5 linked regions of the Macaca fascicularis genome follow. The protein of the gene in region 2 binds, or shares a complex with, the protein of the main gene of each other region. Links are inferred from orthologs where the notes say so. Each region holds a gene or a part of one and is shown on either strand. Other genes may lie near its edges. The genes, in order: LSM8, SNRNP40, AAR2, SART1 and LSM4.

What was found.
Region 1: SNRNP40 (region 2) and LSM8 share a complex: the UniProt entries of both Homo sapiens proteins name them as parts of the U4/U6-U5 tri-snRNP complex. The link is inferred for Macaca fascicularis from reciprocal best matches to the Homo sapiens genes SNRNP40 and LSM8.
Region 3: SNRNP40 (region 2) and AAR2 share a complex: the UniProt entries of both Homo sapiens proteins name them as parts of the U5 snRNP complex. The link is inferred for Macaca fascicularis from reciprocal best matches to the Homo sapiens genes SNRNP40 and AAR2.
Region 4: SNRNP40 (region 2) and SART1 share a complex: the UniProt entries of both Homo sapiens proteins name them as parts of the U4/U6-U5 tri-snRNP complex. The link is inferred for Macaca fascicularis from reciprocal best matches to the Homo sapiens genes SNRNP40 and SART1.
Region 5: SNRNP40 (region 2) and LSM4 share a complex: the UniProt entries of both Homo sapiens proteins name them as parts of the U4/U6-U5 tri-snRNP complex. The link is inferred for Macaca fascicularis from reciprocal best matches to the Homo sapiens genes SNRNP40 and LSM4.

What each region holds. Positions count from the first base shown.
Region 1 is NC_088377.1:159,620,934-159,624,928, reverse strand, and holds the start of LSM8 (LSM8 homolog, U6 small nuclear RNA associated), read right to left. Parts: upstream 2,815-3,995; 5' UTR 2,704-2,814; coding exon 2,673-2,703; intron 1,274-2,672; coding exon 1,233-1,273; intron 1-1,232. UniProt on the Homo sapiens protein: Plays a role in pre-mRNA splicing as component of the U4/U6-U5 tri-snRNP complex that is involved in spliceosome assembly, and as component of the precatalytic spliceosome (spliceosome B complex).
Region 2 is NC_088375.1:203,728,163-203,731,676, reverse strand, and holds part of SNRNP40 (U5 small nuclear ribonucleoprotein 40 kDa protein), read right to left. Parts: intron 1,045-3,514; coding exon 922-1,044; intron 1-921. UniProt on the Homo sapiens protein: Required for pre-mRNA splicing as component of the activated spliceosome. Component of the U5 small nuclear ribonucleoprotein (snRNP) complex and the U4/U6-U5 tri-snRNP complex, building blocks of the spliceosome.
Region 3 is NC_088384.1:92,328,585-92,332,098, reverse strand, and holds part of AAR2 (protein AAR2 homolog), read right to left. Parts: intron 1,483-3,514; coding exon 1,253-1,482; intron 1-1,252. UniProt on the Homo sapiens protein: Component of the U5 snRNP complex that is required for spliceosome assembly and for pre-mRNA splicing.
Region 4 is NC_088388.1:8,429,999-8,433,512, forward strand, and holds part of SART1 (U4/U6.U5 tri-snRNP-associated protein 1), read right to left. Parts: intron 3,411-3,514; exon of another isoform or gene 3,370-3,410; coding exon 3,243-3,369; intron 3,120-3,242; coding exon 3,014-3,119; intron 2,757-3,013; coding exon 2,679-2,756; intron 2,564-2,678; coding exon 2,464-2,563; intron 2,375-2,463; coding exon 2,232-2,374; intron 2,101-2,231; coding exon 1,894-2,100; intron 1,196-1,893; coding exon 1,071-1,195; intron 984-1,070; coding exon 868-983; intron 775-867; coding exon 632-774; intron 1-631. UniProt on the Homo sapiens protein: Plays a role in mRNA splicing as a component of the U4/U6-U5 tri-snRNP, one of the building blocks of the spliceosome. May also bind to DNA.
Region 5 is NC_088393.1:18,687,747-18,691,989, forward strand, and holds the start of LSM4 (U6 snRNA-associated Sm-like protein LSm4), read right to left. Parts: upstream 2,814-4,243; 5' UTR 2,755-2,813; coding exon 2,752-2,754; intron 1-2,751. UniProt on the Homo sapiens protein: Plays a role in pre-mRNA splicing as component of the U4/U6-U5 tri-snRNP complex that is involved in spliceosome assembly, and as component of the precatalytic spliceosome (spliceosome B complex).

The sequences.
Region 1 (3,995 bases), on a different chromosome or scaffold from region 2:
AAAATTAAAAATAATTTCCCAGTTTATTATCCTGTTAACAAAAATAAGAAAATTTAAACGTAAGGTTTTCACTAAATAAAAAATAATGCAAACATCTATTAATAGCAATAGGCTTCTTGAAGTGTTGAGGTTAAAATATGTCAAACTGTCCACATTTGAAAAAATACAATGTGAGGTGCCTAAGAAAACATGATTGCTTCCTTAAGAAAGAAGCCAGGCAACTGGCCTTGGCTTTGATGTCAAACCAAATTTAAATCCCAGTTTGGTTCTGTCACCTGCTACCCTTGTGACTCTGAGAAAGTGAGTCACCTTCTCTGAACTTGTTTCCTAATCTAGAATACAGGGGTACTTATTCTTCACAAGGTTGTATGTACATTAATTAATGTAACACATATGCACCTGGCACACGATATAAATTTAGTAAATGGCAAAGCTAGAACTTTGACTAACAATAGTCACTAAGAACAAACGAAAGCAAAACTGCAGAATGGAAAAATAAGGGATCAAATTATTTAAAGAAACTAGGTAGGGTTAGAAAAGTTTAGTAGCCTTAAAATTCTTTTGAAAGCATTTGGAGTAGGAATTATAAGTGAAGAAATAATCAAGTGCCCAAAAATCTTGAGATGAATTCCTCAGATCAAATTCCAAATACAAGTATCACCATAGGAACGTTTTATCTTTGTTATATGACATAAATTAGCAAGGGAGAAACAACTTCAAGGAACAAGCCAATTTTACGTAAATATGTGTATATAGAGAGAGTCAATCATCATAATGTGTCCTACAGAAGACATGTCACACAACCTAAAAACAAAGAATGTTAAGATTGTATACAAGCCTTAAATGTTGATATGTAGATATTAATAGTATCTAAATCATTAAAAAGTTACTAAGCATATGCAAAATTTCAAAAAATTCTGATTCATGTGGTGCCGAATGAGGAAGGAAATAAAAATGGAAGAAGAAAAGTAAGTTTAATGAAGGTCTGCAGACTAGGAGCTCTCTGAGGGCAGAATCTATAACTCTAGCTCCTAGAAGCCTTGTAGGTAACACGCCACGTTTATGAGTGAGGAAAACGTGGATTGACAGCAAAGTGATAAAGAGCTGAATTATAATAAAACTGCACTACAGGTGTAATGTGCTGTCTAGGCATTAGAGATCAGAGGTTTCACATAAAACTTGCAACCAATAAACCTACAGGAAAGCAGAGAATGAAAATTCCGAAGACTTACCACAATCATCCTCCCATCAGATGTAATAACGGCAACAGTTCCTGATAACTGAATAAAGGAAAGTGTTTCTTAGGGAATGCAAATTGAAAACAGACTCTGGCAAGGTAATGATTTAAATTATTAGAACAAATATGACAATTAGGTAAAAGTGTTCAACACAGCCACTAAGTTCACTACATAAAAACGTTGAAAGATTTTGGGACGCCAAGGCAGGAGGATCACTTGAGGTGAGACTAGCTTGGGAAACACAGTGAGACCCCCCCCATCTCTACTACCCTGGCCTGGTGACCTATAGTCCCAGCTACTCAGGAGACAGAGGCAGAGGCAGGAGGATAGCTTGAGCTCAGGAGTTCAAGGTTGCATTGAGCCATGATCAAGCCACTGCACTCCAGCCTGGGCAACACAGTGAGACCCTCGACTCAAAAAAAGAAAGAAAAAAAATTTTTTAAAAGCTTGTTTTAGTTTTGTGATAATTACATGACTAAAAAAAGGAAAAAATAGAAAAGAAAACCTCTTTCTGTATGTGATCGGTGTATCCTATCTCAAAATATCCTGGATTTTTGACACTTTTCTACTAGGAATGCTGCCAATCTATTATTTCGGACAGGATATTTCGTTTCTTGGGCCTGTTTATATCTAAAATGAAAACTGGATGAGTACTAAATTCATCGATGTTGGACGATTTTCAAGCATGTTAAAAAACTGTCTTCCGGGGCAGGCTTCTGTAATTCAAAAGTAAATAAACTATATAATCAGTGTCACAAGGTACTAACAATGCCTGTAACATTAAAAGCATTCGGTATTTAATTTTTGTCACCCAGTTTGTACCTGAACTTAACATAGTGTTTTTGTTCTGAGACTTTAAAACGGTAACACTTGTAAAGTCTATTTTAAGACTTCCCGTGGGGTTGTTACTTGCTCCTCACTATAATCCATTACAACAGCAAGCATTTTTTTCATTCCACCACCAGGTAGGGTCTTCAAGTGGTAAAGGGACAGAAACAGTCTGTGAACCATCGTTAAACTTTCTGCTATCCTCGAACTAATGAGCATATTATGTGAATAAAACAAGTACACAGATTTGCAAAACTGTTGTCGCAGCCAGGACGACTGTTAATCTTATTTACAAACTTGAACACTTATGCCCTAGGGAAATAGTAAGGAAGAATCAAGAGCGTAATTTTTTTTAAGACAGAAAAGTTCGGAAAAATCACACTGGGTTTTTATTTGGCTTTTGTAGACAAAATGGAAAGGACCCCTGGGCCCGCAGCAGCTGGCAGGCTCTAGGCGCCGCCGCCGAACTCTGGGTCATTCCGGGGTCCTCATCTCGCCCGCCCCCAGGATCCCGCCGCGGCCGGGCCTCCCAACTTCCCACCGATCCCCGAGCGGCGGTCTCTCCGCGGCCCCGGCTCACGCCCGCGGCGGCCAGCTTGAGGATACGGTTGATGTAGTTCTCCAAGGCGGACGTCATGCTGCTCGGACCGGCAGTTCCGGATAACGCAGTGGTGCCGGCCACAAGCAGAACTGAAAGGGCGCGCCAGAACTCGGCAGCGGTTCGCGTCTGCGGGCCGCCGCAAATATCGTGAGAGTTGCTGCTCCGCAGCCCTTTGACTCGGAAATTGGGACGAACTAGCCAACCAAACAGAAGCAGCGCCGCTCTGACGAGAGAGTGCGCGTGCGCAGTGTGTTTTCGCTGTAATTCTGGGCCGTGTTCCGGAAGCCGTGTAAGACAAAGGGAACGAGAGGCGGAAAAAAGGAGGACGCTTCCCGAAGGTGGGGTACGAGAGAGAAGTTGGGGGAGAGTGGGTTTCCAATCCGAGTAAAACCCAGTGTGGTGGAAGATAATAAGTGAAAATGTTGAGGTAGAGCAGGCAGGAAGAAACAGGATAAGGCGTTTTTTATTAGGAGTGAAGGAGGAGAGTAGACGAGCGCTGTTGTGTGAAATGCGGGTGCGGGTAGTTGAATCCCTAGTTTTCTGCAGCAGGAGCCGAAAATAACACTAAAAATAAGTCCAGTTGGCCGGGACAAAGTTGCGCACGTTATAACCACACGGTGTAAGCGTCTTAAGAACTCAACAATGAAATGCACGTTCGTATGTTCTGCTTTTGTCTCTAAAAGTGGTCCAAAATGGAGGTGTTTTTACTTTTTAAAGAAACTAAATGCAAATAGAAAAAGGTGTGTGACCATCCCTTAGAAAACGAATGTTCACGCTTCTACCACGCCGGGATGGTCTGCCGGAATTCTCCAGGGTGAAATTAATAAATAAAAGGCTCCTTCAGCACCAAGAAAGGACTGATGCAGGAAGGCACCAAACTTGGTTCTAATCTTGGCTCTGCTAACGTATTGGTGTCATTGCACAGGTCACTTCAATTCTTCTGGGCCTCAGTTTCCTTATAGTGCCATAGGTATCATTTCAGATATTTCCCAATGTGATACTGTTCCCACTTTATTTACTGTGTTGCCCTAACTTGAGAGAGCTTGAAGTTAGAAAGAGATTTATACACAAAACATCAGCAGGAGCGATTTCCCTTTTTTACAAAATATCTTTATGATTTAGGTTAAACATGTATTTTCTTAAGAATTGTGGCTTTGGAATAACTCTTGCAATGTCAGCAGTTTTCCTGGGAAAAGGAAGCATTTCTTAATTAGAGCATACCCACAAGATACCTACAAGATGACTCCCAAATAGTTAAAATTTTATATTCTGGAAGTTATTCCGATCTGTTTGAAATCAAATGTAGTCAGGAATTAGATTGTGAATGT
Region 2 (3,514 bases):
CCGCACCTGGCCAAAAGCAAGGATATTTCATCCAAAGTAACAGCAAAGGAAACAACGAGGGATGGAAATACAGTACAACTTCTAGGAAAGGACAACACAGAAAGTTGAGTATTTATCTGACAGTTACTATTCTCACTATAAAGCAGAAGGTAAGGTCAAAGTCGTTAAGATCCCCAAGGAAGCCAATAGGAAAGGAAGACAGAAGCCGTGCAGGACCAAAATAACACATTTCCTGGCACTTGTTATGTCCAGGAATTCTGCTAAGTGCTCTAATCAGGCTCATTTAATCGCTACAATGGTATGTGGTAGATGCCATGTGGTAGTTTTTGTTATCACTACCCCCTCAGCATTCACACAAGAAAAAGAGGCTTAAAGAAGGTGTTGAAGTCACAAAACTAGAAAATGGTGAAACTGGGATTAGAACTCAAGTCAATTACTTGAAAGTTTGAGCTACACTGTACTGCCATATGGTCTATTGCCTCTTTAATATCATTACCTTCTCTCATTCTTAGAGAAACTTAGAAAACTCCCTTTCCATAGTGTCAAAAAGAAAAACACAGTGAGAGATGAGGATACAGAATCACAAACTGATTCACTGCTCCCATTAAACTAAGATGGTTAAAAAAAGATTCTGAATGTCTTTAAAAGGAAATGCACTCTTTATTTTTTACATAGTCCCCCTACAGAGACTTCACACTTCACATTAAGTGCCTGGTCCCTGACAGCATTTATAAGATCTGCAGTGCAACCTTTAATTTAGGAAGTCAATGAAGACAGGAGAAAAAGAAAATAAGTTCCAAATTACTATTTTCCTTTCAGTTGGTATTAAGTGCAAAGCTACCACAATTTCAGAAGTTTGAAAAAATTTGTTTCTAAGTGCAGATGGGTGAAATGGAAATATATCATAAACATCAAACATACCTTGATATCATTGTCTATTCCACCAGAAATAATCTGATCACTTGTGTCATTGAAGGTCACAGCTAACACCTGGTACGTGTTCTGAAATGTCTGGATGGCTGCTTTCTTCCGGATGTCCCAAAGCTGAAGCAAAGGACAACAGGGTCTATCATTAATATCATTCTAAGAAGTAACTGCACAGTACAAATATCCCTAAGTACAAGGACTTTGTGAACATGAACACATCTATAATTGGGATCCCATTTCACTAACTCCTGGATATCCTAATAACACACATGGTAAGCAGTGTCCTCAATTTTGCTAAGACATTTGAAGGCTGGTGAAACAAAACTTCAGTTATATTTTCAGACTTCTTTGTTAAAGTGAATAAACAGAGTTAAATCAACATACTCTTAGAATGGAATTCCACTAATTACTTGGTTCATATATTTTTTAGGACAACAAGGATATCAGACAATTTTTTCAAACTGTAGATACTAATTCATTAGTGGGCTGCAACCCACATTTAAAAAAATAGAGAGCGGGTACGTCAGTGAAAATAGTATAATAAACAATGACAAAAGCTTGTCCTTCCACAAAACAACAAATGAACCAGCAAAAACCTGTCAGAATCAACTGTCGGAACTCTCATAACTAATCAAAAGTTTATAGTAACCAGGCAAACCCTTAATGAGGAAAAAGGAAACAAAAAAACCCCTGAGTCCCAGTAAAAGGGTTTTGTAGTGTTTTAACTTGTGCTGGCTCTGTCTCCCGCTCAGCAACAGCTTTGAAGATAACCCATATTCCCAGTATGGTTTCCTAGTACTGAGGAAGCAAAGGGGGGCCTATTTCTTATTGTCAAAGAATAAACAATAAAAATTGTTTATTTTTACTTGTCTGGTGGCTCCCTGAAGGATAAGCTCAAAGGACTTACATTTATTTATTTATTTATTTATTTTTTTGAGACGGAGTCTTTGCTCTGTCGCCCAGGCTGGAGTGCAGTGGCGCCAACTCGGCTCACTACAAGCTCCGCCTCCTGGGTTTACGCCATTCTCCTGCCTCAGCCTCCCGAGTAGCTGGGACTACAGGCACCCGCCACCTCGCCCGGCTGGTTTTTTGTACTTTTAGTAGAGACGGGGTTTCACCGTGTTAGCCAAGATGGTCTCGATCTCCAGACCTCGTGATCCGCCTGTCTCGGCCTCCCAAAGTGCTGGGATTACAGGCGTGAGCCACCGCGCCCGGCCAGGACTTACATTTATTTTGTCTAACTTGGAACTTTCCTTGAAAACATTTAGGCCGGGCGCGGTGGCTCAAGCCTGTAATCCCAGCACTTTGGGAGGCCGAGACGGGCGGATCACGAGGTCAGGAGATCGAGACCATCCTGACTAACACGGTGAAACCCCATCTCTACTAAAAAATACAAAAAAAAAAAAAAAAAAAAAAAACTAGCCGGGCGAGGTGGCGGGCGCCTGTAGTCCCAGCTACTCGGGAGGCTGAGGCAGGAGAATGGCGGGAACCCGGGAGGCGGAGCTTGCAGTGAGCTGAGATCCGGCCACAGCACTCCAGCCTGGGTGACAGAGCAAGACTCCGTCTCAAAAAAAAAAAAAAAAAAAAAAAAAAAAAAAGAAAACATTTAAAGGAAAGGATATTATTAGCCTCTGGTGCCTGGGGGCAAGGAAAAACAGTTGGGGCAAAAATACAAACCAAAAACCTTGGGAGGAAGGGCTGGGGAAGGAGACAATTTGGGGAGTAAGAGTTTTGAAAAGCACTGACATATTCCTGGCTATCTATCTTATCTATCTATCTTATCTTATCTATCTATCTATCTATCTATCTATCTATCTATCTATCTATCTATCTACCTACCTACCTACCTACCTACCTACCTACCTACCTACCTACCTATCTATCTATCTATCTACCTACCTACCTACCTACCTACAGAGTCTCCCTCTGTCACCCAGGCCGGAGTGCAGTGGTGCGATCTCGGCTCACTGCAACCTCCACCTCACAGGCTCAAGCAATTCTCCTGTCTCAGCCTCCCGAGTAGGTGGGATTATAGGCGCGTGCCACTATACCCAGCTAATTTTTGTATTTTTAGTAGAGACAGGGTTTCGCCATGTTGACCAGGCTGGTCTCACACTCCTGGCCTCAAGTGATCTGTCTGCCTCGCCCTCCCAAAGTGCTAAGATTACAGGCATGAGCCACCATGCCTGGCCCATCCCTGGCAATCTAGACCACTTGCATGTCCAGGGCTGGGCACATACTTAGAAAAGATCTGAGAAGGCCATAAGCTCTCTGGTTGACCTTCAGGCTCTGCACAAGCAGGAAGTGAAAGCTAAGGAGAGATGTAAACTGCACAGCAAGGAGTTGAAGGCAGGCTCCAACATACCAAAAGACAATCTGCAAAGACTGGGAGAGCTTTTGTTCTTGTTGTTGTAGGTAATTTAGGAAACTTCTGTCATTCACTAGCTGACCACTAAGCTAACAAAAAAAAAGAATTCAGTGGTAACACAGGACAAAGAATACAAACTTTACAAAATTAGTTCAAAAATTCACTAAACAGGCCAGGTGTGACAGCTCACACCTGTAATCCCAGCATTTTGGGAGGCCG
Region 3 (3,514 bases), on a different chromosome or scaffold from region 2:
CAGGAAACCAAGACTCAGGCCTGGGTACAAATCCTGACCTCCATCTGCCAGCTGTATGACTTCAAGTAAATGATTTAACCGTTCTCAGTGTTCTCATTTGTAAAGTGGGAATAATACCTCCATCTTACAGGGTTCCAAAGGGATTCAATGAGTGAACAGGGTCTCACTCTGTTGCCCAGGCTGGAGTGCAGTGGCACGATCACGATCATTGCTCACTATAGCCTCAAACTCCTGGGCTAAGTGATCCTCCTGTCTCAGCCTCCCAAGTAGCTAGGACTACAGGTATGCATGACCATACCTAGCCATTTTTAAAATTTTTGTAGAGATGGGGTCTCACTATATTGCCCAAGCTGGTCTTTAATTCCTGGGCTCAAGTGATCCTCCTGCCTTCACCTCCCAAAGTGTTGGGATTACAACCATGAACCACCACACCCAGCCCCAACATTTAATGAATATTCATCCCTTCTGTTACCCTGAGTGGGATTGGAAGGTTGGTGAAAAGCTGCCTTATATGGAGCAGGCCTCATAGGGGTACTACACACAGAGAGAAGAAAGAAGCTCATGGGAGGGAAAGTATGGAAACTGATAGTTGGCAGCTTCTGCCTCTTCTATTCTTGAGAAAGTTACACAATGTGAGTGACAGAGGCTGTCCCAAGTACATAAAGGAAACTAATCTGTTTGCAAAGGGAGGAAATAGCATAGGATGAAGATTGTAAGTTGTTTGAAGCTTCTTTCCTAATTACCACTCATAATGAAAATTTAATTGCCAAGTTAAAAGCAAATTTCACTTTTTCTGTCATAGAATCTCTGCAGAAACTGGCACATTTTGTTTGAACAGGAAATCAAAGTTATTTTAATGCTTAAATGAGATCTAAGGAGCTGCAGATGTTTCACTGGGAATAAAAAACTTCAAAACTTTGCTTTACTGGGTTGTAGCAATTCATGGCTACAGGGAGAAAGAAAAGCTGTTTTAAGCTGAGTAAACCAAAGCAGTGGAAGGAATTCAAATCCAAGTACCCCACTGTACTTAGGCACACTGGGGATGAGGTATAGGGTGAGCGTGGTACAGAGAGAAAATTTCTGGCATAGAAACACAATTGAGTAAGAGAGAGAAAACCAGGAAATATCCCAAGACTAGGAAACTGAAATATAAACATTTTTGGGTCATGGAAGAATAGCAAGAAACAAAACACATACTGTTGCCTCAATTCTGACCCACATCTGCATCAGCTCAGTCAGAAAGACTGCTCACCTGTAAGGTGCTGGTGAGGAAGTTGTCTTGGGAGACAATGTCTACAAAGAAGTCAGCGGGGATCTCACCAAGCTGGTGGTACAGGATGGAGATGAGGTTGATGTAGAGAGTGTGGTGCTTCACCATGGCTGCTTCTGACCGGCACAGGAGGTTCAGGAGCCGCTTCCAATGCTCAAATGCCTCATACACATTCCCCAGCAGGAAGCACACAAAAGCAAACTGGAGTTCACCTGAAAGGTGCAGAGAGGAGAAGTGATTCTGAGGGAGAGGAGAACCAGATGACACTCTCCATCACTGTTCACAAGGCCATCAATTCCACTGGACCTCAGCAACAGATTACTTTTTATCCTTGTCACTCCTGCAGAGCCTGGCATGGGATTTTGCACCTAACAGGTACTCAACAAATGTTTGCTGAACCGCTATGAATTCAAGCCATGGGAAACCAACCTGTGGCTTTGGATTTCTGTAAAGTCAGACTGCAAGAGAAGAAGTATTCCCAGTATTTGCCTGGCATTTTAAGTTTACAAAATGTGTTCATGGATATTATGCCAAGTGGCTCTCAAACCTGGCTGCCCATCAGAATCACTGAGAGTCTGTTAAAAGTAAAGCTACCCAAGCTTCCCCCTCAGAGGTTCTGGTTGAGGAGAGATGATGGGGCCTTCATATCTGTAGCTCTGACAAGCTCCCCAGGGGATTCTGATGCGGATGGTCTGCTCCAGGGTCACAGAAATACTGCACTACACCATGTAACCCTCAGCCCAACTCCACAGGCGATCAGGAAGGTGGTATTTGCCTCATTTTACAGATGAGGTCAAGGGCTTGCCCAAGGCCGCACTTCAATGCTTCACAATGTGGGCAATGGAAAGATAAAACAGATTCTCTATTGGGTGGGAACAGTTCTAGGACCTCCCACCAGAGAAAAATTCCTGAGTACTTATTCCAGGGTCAGCATGCCAGCCAGATTATTTTTTGTTTGCTTAATCACAGGGCTCCGTGATTTAATCTCTATGAGCAGCTTGGTGGCTAAGAGCATGGGCTCTGGAGCCAAACTGCCTAGATTCAAATCTTAGCTCTGCCACTTAGCAGCTGTGTGACCTTGGGCAAGTTACTCAATCTATTAAGACCTGGATTTCCTTATTTGAGGGTTGCAGCAAAGATTAAATGAATGGATACAGTACACGTAAAGCATTTAGAATAACACCTGGCACAAAGTAGCACTCAAAAAATATTATGTTCCCAATTTCTATCAGATGCCCATCTCAAACAAAGAGACCTGATGATCCAGACACCACTGTCCCTGGGCAAGTAACGGGGTCTCTGGAAGTTACTGTAGAATTACTGCCACTCATCACAGGCATTCTCTCTACTTCAAAGGTGGCTGGAAATTTAATGAGGTATATGTCCATGTGGGCCATAAAAAGAAGAGATGCACTCAACACCAAATACCTCTTTAAATGCATAGTGTTTGATCTCTGCCACTTCCAGAGACCTGGAAAAACTAGCTCCCTGTCCTAAGCATATGGAACTAAGTTTGATGTATGTGAATAGCTACCTGGTTGAGATATTTTGGATCTCTGACCAGTATTTTCAAATACAGTCAAATTTTCTTTGTGTAATATACGTTAATGATTTGCTTCTTCAGCTGGCTTTACTTGGTTTGTGAAACTAAATATTAGCCTATTCTTTGCATTTAGGACATTTATTTAAATTTGTGCATTTCTGACCTTGTCTAAAATTTAATTATGACATCAAAAATAATTTCAAAGAGCTGTGATGTAGATTCAAAATTATCCCTGGACAGGTGTGGTGGCAGGGATAGTCCTAGCCCTTTGAGAGGTCAATGGAGGAGGATTGCTTGAGTTCAGGAGTTTGAGACAAGCTTGGGCAACACAGGGAGACCCTATCTCTACCAAAAATAATTAGCTGGGCGTGGTGGCACACACCTGTGGTCCCAGCTACTTAGGAGGCTGAGGTGGGAGATCACTTGAGCCCAGGAGGTTGAAGCTGCAGTGAGCTGTGATCATGCCACTGCACTCCAGCCCATGTCACCAAGTGAGGCCCTGTCTCAAAAAAAAAAAAAAAAAAAAAAAAAAACAACCCAACAAAGTTATTCCTGTAACAGACTTTTTCACAAGATATATTTTGAAGAATTGAAATGTTTAAGAGGTAGAAAGACAGGATTTCTATTCATTTTTAAGCCAGACTTTCAAAAGTTACTTATTACATGAAAATACTAATGCATGAAGATATACCTGTTAAAAT
Region 4 (3,514 bases), on a different chromosome or scaffold from region 2:
AAGCCACTTCTCTGAGTCCAGGGCCCCGTGGCTGTCCTGTTCACCAATGACCTTCTCGGCCCAAGAACAATGCACTACTCACAGCAGGCATTCAACAAACATGCACAGGAAGAGAGAGGCCAGGAAAGGATCCCCTACTAAAGCAGGCATCTAAAAACTTTTGCAAAACATGACTTTTAAACAGAAAACATGACTTTAACCAGGGCTGGTCGCAGTGGCTCACACCTGTAATCTTAGCATTTTTGGAGGCCGAGGCAGGCAGATCATGAGGTCAGGAGTTGGAGACCAGCCTGGCCAACACGGTGAAACCCCGTCTCTACTAAAAATACAAAAATTAGCCGGGTGTGGTGGCGGGTGCCTGTAATCCCAGCCACTCAGGAGGCTAAGGAATGAGAATCACTTGAACCAGGGAGGCGGAGGCTGCAGTGAGCCGAGGCCACGCCATTGCACTCCAGCCTGGGCGACAGAGCAAAACACTTGTCTCAAAAAAAAACAAAACCCAGAAAACAAAAAACAAATGGAAAAGAGGCTTCAGACAGGAATGTGGCTGTTGCCTATGACACATGTGCTCGTGAGGACAGGTGACTGCTGACGCACTGGTAGCCCCAGGCCTGCCCATGCCCAGCCTCACCTTCTCGCCACTGTCTCGCAGCTGCTGCAGCTGCTGTAACTGTCGCAGCCGGCGTCCCTTCTCCAGCTGCTTCTGCAGCTCCAGCTCCGCCTCGTCCTCCTCCAGCACCTGCGGGGACCCCGGCTGTGGAGCTCCACCTTCCTCTGGGGGATACACAGGGGATGCCTGCTCAGACAATCTCCTCCAACCCAGGGCTCCTGTCCCTGCCCCCTCCCACCTCCTGGCCAGGCTCTCACCCTCATCACTGATGTCCATGTTCTCCACTCGGGTGTCATCCGACGGCAGGGGCTGAGGCACGGGCTCCTTCTCCTCCTCCACCTCAGACACTCGGCGGCGACCCCGTCCCCGCAGTCTGAGGGAAGGAGGCCTCTCTGGTGAGCACCGGCCCCCGGGACACCCCAGCCCAGCCCTCTCACCCTACCATGGTGTCCAAGCCCACCTGGAACCAAAGTCCCCATCCTGAGTCTGGTCCCCGAGAGGCAACAGGTCATCCGCCCGCACTACGACCTCCTTCTCCTTCTTGCGGATTTTCCTCACCCTCCGCTTGGTCCTTCTAAAGGCCACCTGAGGGGAAGAGGGAGGCGTGGGGCGGGGCGGGGAAAGGCAGGCCACCACAAGCCCGCGAGGATGAACACTTCTTTGGTGTTCTTCTGTGCTAGCCAGTGTCCTGAGCACTTCTCACACATGAGCAACACGTGGGGTGGTTACTATCTCCCTTCCACTGGTGATTAGGGAAACTGGGGCACAGAGAGGTTAAGTACCTTCCCCAAGGTCGCCCAGCTCCTAGGTGGGAAAGCCGGGCAGTCTGGCTCCAGAGTCCTGCTCTTACCCACTGAGCAAGACGCCTACTACACCAGCTGACTACCTCACGTTCACACAGTCACTCTGCGGACAGAATCCACGCACACCTTTCCAGTCACCCCTCACCCACACTGTCACTCATCCTCACAGCAACCTCAGGAGGTGGCTCCTATCACTGCCACTCCAGATGGGGCACCCCAGGCTCACAGTTAAATGGCTTACCCAAGGCACAAGCTGGCAGTATGGCAGAGCAGAAACACCAACTGGGGCCCATCTGGCTCAGCAGCCCTGACCCGTCAACACCTGGTGCCTCCCCAGGTTGCCATTTACTGCTTGCCCACGAGGCCAAGCGCTTTGTGAACAGAAATACTTGCCCTCTCTTCCCAGTGCCTGCGGGCAGCGCAGGAGCCCCAAGGGGAGGGAGAATCATGACCCCAAGTACAAGGCGCAAGAGGGCTCACCATCTCCTCGGGTGTGAGGTACTCAGAGGCCAGCCGGGGCCCCACCGTGCTCAGGGACTGAGCCTGCAGCCGCAGCTTGGCCCGGATCTCCTCCAACTCCCGTTCCCGCAGGCCATCGGCCATGCCCCCCTGCTCCAAGCGGAAGGAATGCGGCTGCTCCCCCTCAAGCTCTTCGTCGTACTTGGACAGGATAGAGCGAGGTTTTTGCTGCAAGGTAAGAGGTACAGGTTGGGACCCAGGGTGGCTCCTGAAAAGCCACTGAGCCACCACCTCCTCAGAGCCCCTATTCCCGACATTCTCCACCCCAGCCCCCGCCGCCCAGCCTGCTTGGGCCGTGCCTGCGCCAGGTCGTCCACACTCTCGTCCTCGGCATAAGGCAGGTAGTCGGGCTTCTTCTTCCGCAGCTCCACATTCTTCTCTGCCCGCTCCTTATCCACCAGGTTCACGTTCACCAGCACGTCCTCCTCCTCCTGCAGCACGCCTGCGGGCAGCACAGAGCAGTGGCCATTCACACTTGTCCACAACTCAGCAGAGGCTGTGCCCCGACCCAAGGCACCCAGCTCGCGTCACCTTTGTCCTTAAGGGTGAGGATCATGGTCTCCCCTTCTCGGAAGGAATCAATGGCATGCTCCACGGTGAGGCCCTGCAGGTCCCGGGCACTGTACAGGTCCTAACAGAAGAATCAGGCGAGTAAAGAACCTCCCTCCACGCGCCCAACCTTGGGATTCCAGCATCAAGGCCGCCAGTGTGCCCTGCACCACCCACCCCGGCTGCTGCAGCCTCACCTGCCGTCTCTGCCCGAACTCCTCCTCTACCAGAGTGCTGACACCAAACTCTTGGTCCATCTCCTCCAGTAACTTTGCCTATGGGACAGGGAGGGGTGACCTAGGACCTCAGGCCACTCAGCACCACCAGAAAACACTCAGGGCTCTACCAAGCGGAGTGCAAAAAGAGCAGGCCTTGCAGGAAAGTTGCTGAGAATCCAAAGCAGATGCTACCAACCACAGCCCATCCCCTCTCCGAACCCCGTCTCACCTCTCTGGGGTCGACCCCCTGCCTCAACGCCCAGTCAGGCCAGCAAAAGCACTGGGCAACCACCCCATGCTGCCCAGGTGCTCACCCTCTTCTCTGCCAGGTCTTTCTCCTTCTGCAGCTGCCGGCTCCTCTCGATCCAGGCTGCAGTGTCATCCAGCCAGGGATCATCCTCTCCTAGGGTCTTTATCTTCCTGAAGAGGGGAGAAAGTGATGCTCCAGGAGCCCAGCTCCTGCTCCCAACCCCACTCAAAAGGCAGCCAAGGATGGTGGCCTCCCCAGCCCTTCCCTTGCCTGCCCTGGCCAGGACCCCTCACCCCAGCTTTTGGTTCAGCAGGCGCTTCTCCTTGGCAGCCGCCAGCTTCTCCCGCAGCTCCTCTCGCTGTCGCAAGGCCATAGGATTGATGACATCGGCTGTCACGGGCTCCTCCTTGGTGCCCGCCTCTGGAAGGGGGGCCCAGACGTGAGGCTATGCCCGCCCATGGCTGGTGGGGAGAGGAGGGAGCCACTCACCCTGCCCCCTTCCAGCTCAGGGGGCCAGAAGGGGTCAGGACAGGAAGGAACAATCCTTCACCTCCCTGCTCCCACT
Region 5 (4,243 bases), on a different chromosome or scaffold from region 2:
ATCCTCATCTCCAAACTCTGTTGGAGAAAGAGGTCAGAGGAAGGGGTGGATCCTCAAAATCTTAAAAGAAGATACATCAAAGTGCCAGGTGAGGCTTGGCACAGTGGCTTGCGCCTATAATCACAGCACTTTGGGAGGCTGAGGTGGGAGGATCACTTGAGCCCAGGAGTATGAGACCAGCTTGGGCAACACAGCAAGATTCTGTCTCTACAAAAAATGTAAGAATTAGACAGGTTTAGTGACGCATGTGGTCCCAGCTACTTGGGAGGCTCAGGTGGGAGGATCACTTGGGCCGGTGAGGTTGAGGCTGCAGTGATTGTGCCATTGCACTCCAGCCTGGACGACAGTGAGAGCTCAGTTCCAAAAAAGAAAAAAAAGTACAGAGTGCAGTGGCTCACACCTGTAATACCAGCACTTTGACACACCGAGGTGGGTGGATCACCTGAGGTCTGGGGTTCAAGACTAGCCTAGCCAACATGGTGAAACCCCATCTCTACTGAAAATACACAAATTATCCAGGCGTGGTGGCGCATGCCTGTGATCCCAAGCTACTTGGGAGGCTGAGGCAGGAAAATCACTCTCTCCGAGAGGTGGAGGTTTAGTGGGCTTTCTTGCAGCATCTGGAATCTGGTTCTCAGGTCTAGATCCACAAAGACCTAATCCAGTGCCTCCTAATTCAGGAAGCTGTCCAGGACTGCCCATCCCCGCTCCTAACCCAGGCCACTCCTTCTGGCCCTGCCCTGATCACAGGGAACTGGAAGTGTGTATCCCATGATGCCTTGTCCATTCTTGGCCACTCCTCCAGGAAATGGCTGGATAGCCAGGACTCTGGATGTTCAGAAGGTGGGAAGGGGCTGAATGAATGAGTTCACACTTTGCCCAGGCACCGTTCTACACACTGGGAATATAGTTGGAAGAAAAAAAAAGATTCTGCTTCCACAAAACTTAACACAGGGATGGATCCTTCCAGCTCTGCCCAGTCTTGCATGCCAACTCTGCCCTCTAAGTACATGGCAGAGGGACAGGCTCTCTGAATCCTTGCTCTTGAAACCGCCTTTGCAAAAATTGTAACTGAGGAAATTATGACAGCGAAAAGAGATCAGACCTAACCGACTCCATCGTGCTTCTAACCTTTAAGCTGTTCTTGTTTATTCCTGGGCATAGGCCGAACTAACCTTGGGAAGGGATTTAGTGTATAGTTTGAAACAAAATTGGTAATAGCCCTTTCCCGAAAAGACCCTTTTCTTGCCTGGGGACCAGTCTGCCTTTGTAGGACTAACAAATTAGCTGCACGATTAGAAATTATTGTTTACGGGTCATACAGCCTCTGGCTGCAAGAGTCTGAACCTCCCCAAATTGCTCCTAGGGATAACATCACTATTATAAAATCTAAGATCAGTGTTTGAGATATTTTGCAGACCCTGTACTTGGTGGATCAGCTGACACCACCCAGACCAGTAATTTGGCTCAACCAGTCCTGCAATCCCACCCAGGAACAGAAGACAGCAAGAAAATCTCACTTCAACCCCCGCCCCCGCCCCCCCGCCCCCCCCCCCCCCCCCCCCCCCCGCCAATGACTCCATCTCCAACCTCAGGAAGCTCCAACCAATCAGCACTCCCCACTTCCTGAGCTCCTACCCGCCAAATTATCTTTAAAAACTCGGATCCCCTAATGCTCAGGGGAGACTGATTTCAGCAGTAATAAAACTCCAGTCTCCTGCATAGCTGGCTCTGTGTGAAATACTCTTTCTGTATTGCAATTGCCCTGTCTTGATAAATGGGCTCTGTCTAGGAAGCAGGCAAGGTGAACCCGTTGGGTGGCTACACACTGACCAGCTGGATTTAGGGAGAGCTCTCTCACTAATCCACAGTTCTGATGCAGCCACCCCTGGGGGGCCCTCCTGGTTACTGAATCTCCCACTGTCTCACAGTCTGGAAGTCACATCCCCAACAAGGGCCTTGGTTTCTCTCATTGAAAAAAGAAGGGCCAGATGCTGATGAGCCAGGAAACTCCCAGCTCTGGATTCCTTTTCTGATCTGCACACTGGGAGACACGGGCACTTTCTAGCCCAGATCCAGAACTTACAGAATCATAAACAATGTGGCCCTGCAGAGACCTGGGCTGCAATTTTTCCTTCTGTGTACGGGGAGGATGTACTTTGCCCACCCCTAGCTCAAAACGCTCCCTTCCTCTGGAATGACATGCTTTGTGAACCAAGGAGAAACACCACACCCCAGCACCAGGCCTACTTTTCAGCCAGAAAACAAGAGGCCTAAGAGGCTCTGCTGCTAGCATTTTAAGCATCTTACAAGCTCTGAAATTCCTAAAACTAAGTTTCACAACTCAGACTGGCCCCCTACTTCCCAGCATTCTAGGTTTCAATCTGGGAGGTCAGACTGGGTCCGAAGCGTAAGGGACCCCCTTCCCTGCCCAAAAACTCTCTGTTGCATTTGGCAGATCCCCACTTTTTTAACCTCAGTTTCCCAACCTGCAAAATGGGAAAACTAAGTAAGGCGAGGCCACTGTACTGTGGATACGAGTACGTGCAACCCTAAATCCCAGACACGAACGTGGTAGAACCACCTGCAGTCTCCAGCATCAGTTTCCCGGCCTTGTGCCGGGGGACGGGACTCAAGGCTCGGACCGTACGTTCGCCCCGCGCCAACCCAGCCCTCAGCGCCCGCCCGCAGGGCTCCTAACGACTGCGGTTCCCGCCTCCCGGTGAGACCCCGCCGTTGCTCTGCCCTCACCATGGTGCCGGCGGGGACCGGGCTCGCCGGCCACTTCCGCCGCCGCCGCTGCACACGCTCCCGGCGGTCTTCGCCACGCCGCGCCGCGCGCCACTGGGCTGAAAGAAAGTGGCAGAGACGCGAGCCAGTCAGCACCGGGCTAGAAGGCCGGTTAACCAATCCACGCGGAGTAGGGCGGGGCCCGCTAGGCGAAAGGGGCGGGCCGGGCCGTGTTCCCGCCAGAGGAACGAGGAAGAGAGCCGTAAAGTGCCGCGGCTTGTAATACAAAAGGGGGCGGAGCAACGCGCGCCGGGGCGGGGTGCATTGTGGGTAAACGCGTGCGCAGGTGAAACCTTCGTCGGTCTTCTGGGCTCCACGCTGTGGGCAAAGCCAGTAACTTCCTTTGCAGTTGAGGGAGAGAAATCCAGGCTTCGTGGTGATTGGGACGTCCCTGGTGTCGCCCTTCGGACTCCTAGTTTTCTGATTCTGTAATTATCCAGGGAACATCATTTAGTAGGTTGGAATCCTGACCACGACCCTCGGGGCCTCAGTTTTCTCCCTGTAAATAGTAGTGTCTGCTCCAAAACGTTACTTACTATGAGGATGAAATGAATGAAACCGTGTAAAAGCACTTAAAACAGCGTCTGGCATATATTAAGTACTTAATACCTATTCTGTGCCTGCTTCTGCTCATAGAAATGAACAGTACACAAAATTCGTGGCCCTTAGGGAGACAGACAGTAAACAAAGTAAATAGGCGAATGCTATTAGTTCCCTGGGGCCTGCTGTAACAAATGCCCACACACTGGGAGGCTTAAAACAACAGAACGTGATTTTCTCATAATTCAGGAGACCAGAATAATAAAATGAGGTTGTCAGTAGGGTTGGCTCCCTCTGGAGGCTCTGAGGACAATCTGCGTGTCCTATGCTTCTCTCCTGGGTTCTGGTGGCTGCTGGGAAACCTCGGAGTTCTTGGCTTGTAGATGCAGCCTTCCGCCTTCTGCCTCTGTCGTCACTTGGCCTTCTCTGTGTGTCTCTGAGTCTCAAACGACTCTCTCCTTTTTTTTTTCTTTTTTTGTAGAGACAGGGTCTCCCTATGTTGTCCAGGCTGGTCTCGAACTCTTGGGGTCAAGCAATCCTCCCTCCTCTGCCTCCCAAAGTGCTGGGATTACAGGCGTGAGCCACCGAGCCCAGCCTCTCCGTTTTCTTATAAGGACACGCCTTTCTCTTATTAAGCCCACCATAAATTCAGGATAATGTCATCGCAAGATCCTTAATTACATCTGCAAAGACCCTATTTTTTTTTTTTTTTTTTTTGAAATGGAGTCTCATTCTATCACCCAGACTACAGTGCAGTGGTGGGATCTCAGCTCACTGCAATCCCTCCGTCCTGGGTTTAAGGGATTCTCCTGCCTCAGCCACCAGAGTGGCTAGGATTACAGGCACACGCCACAATGCCCAGCTAATTTTTGTATTTTTAGTAGAGACGGGGTTTCACCATGTTGGCCAGGCT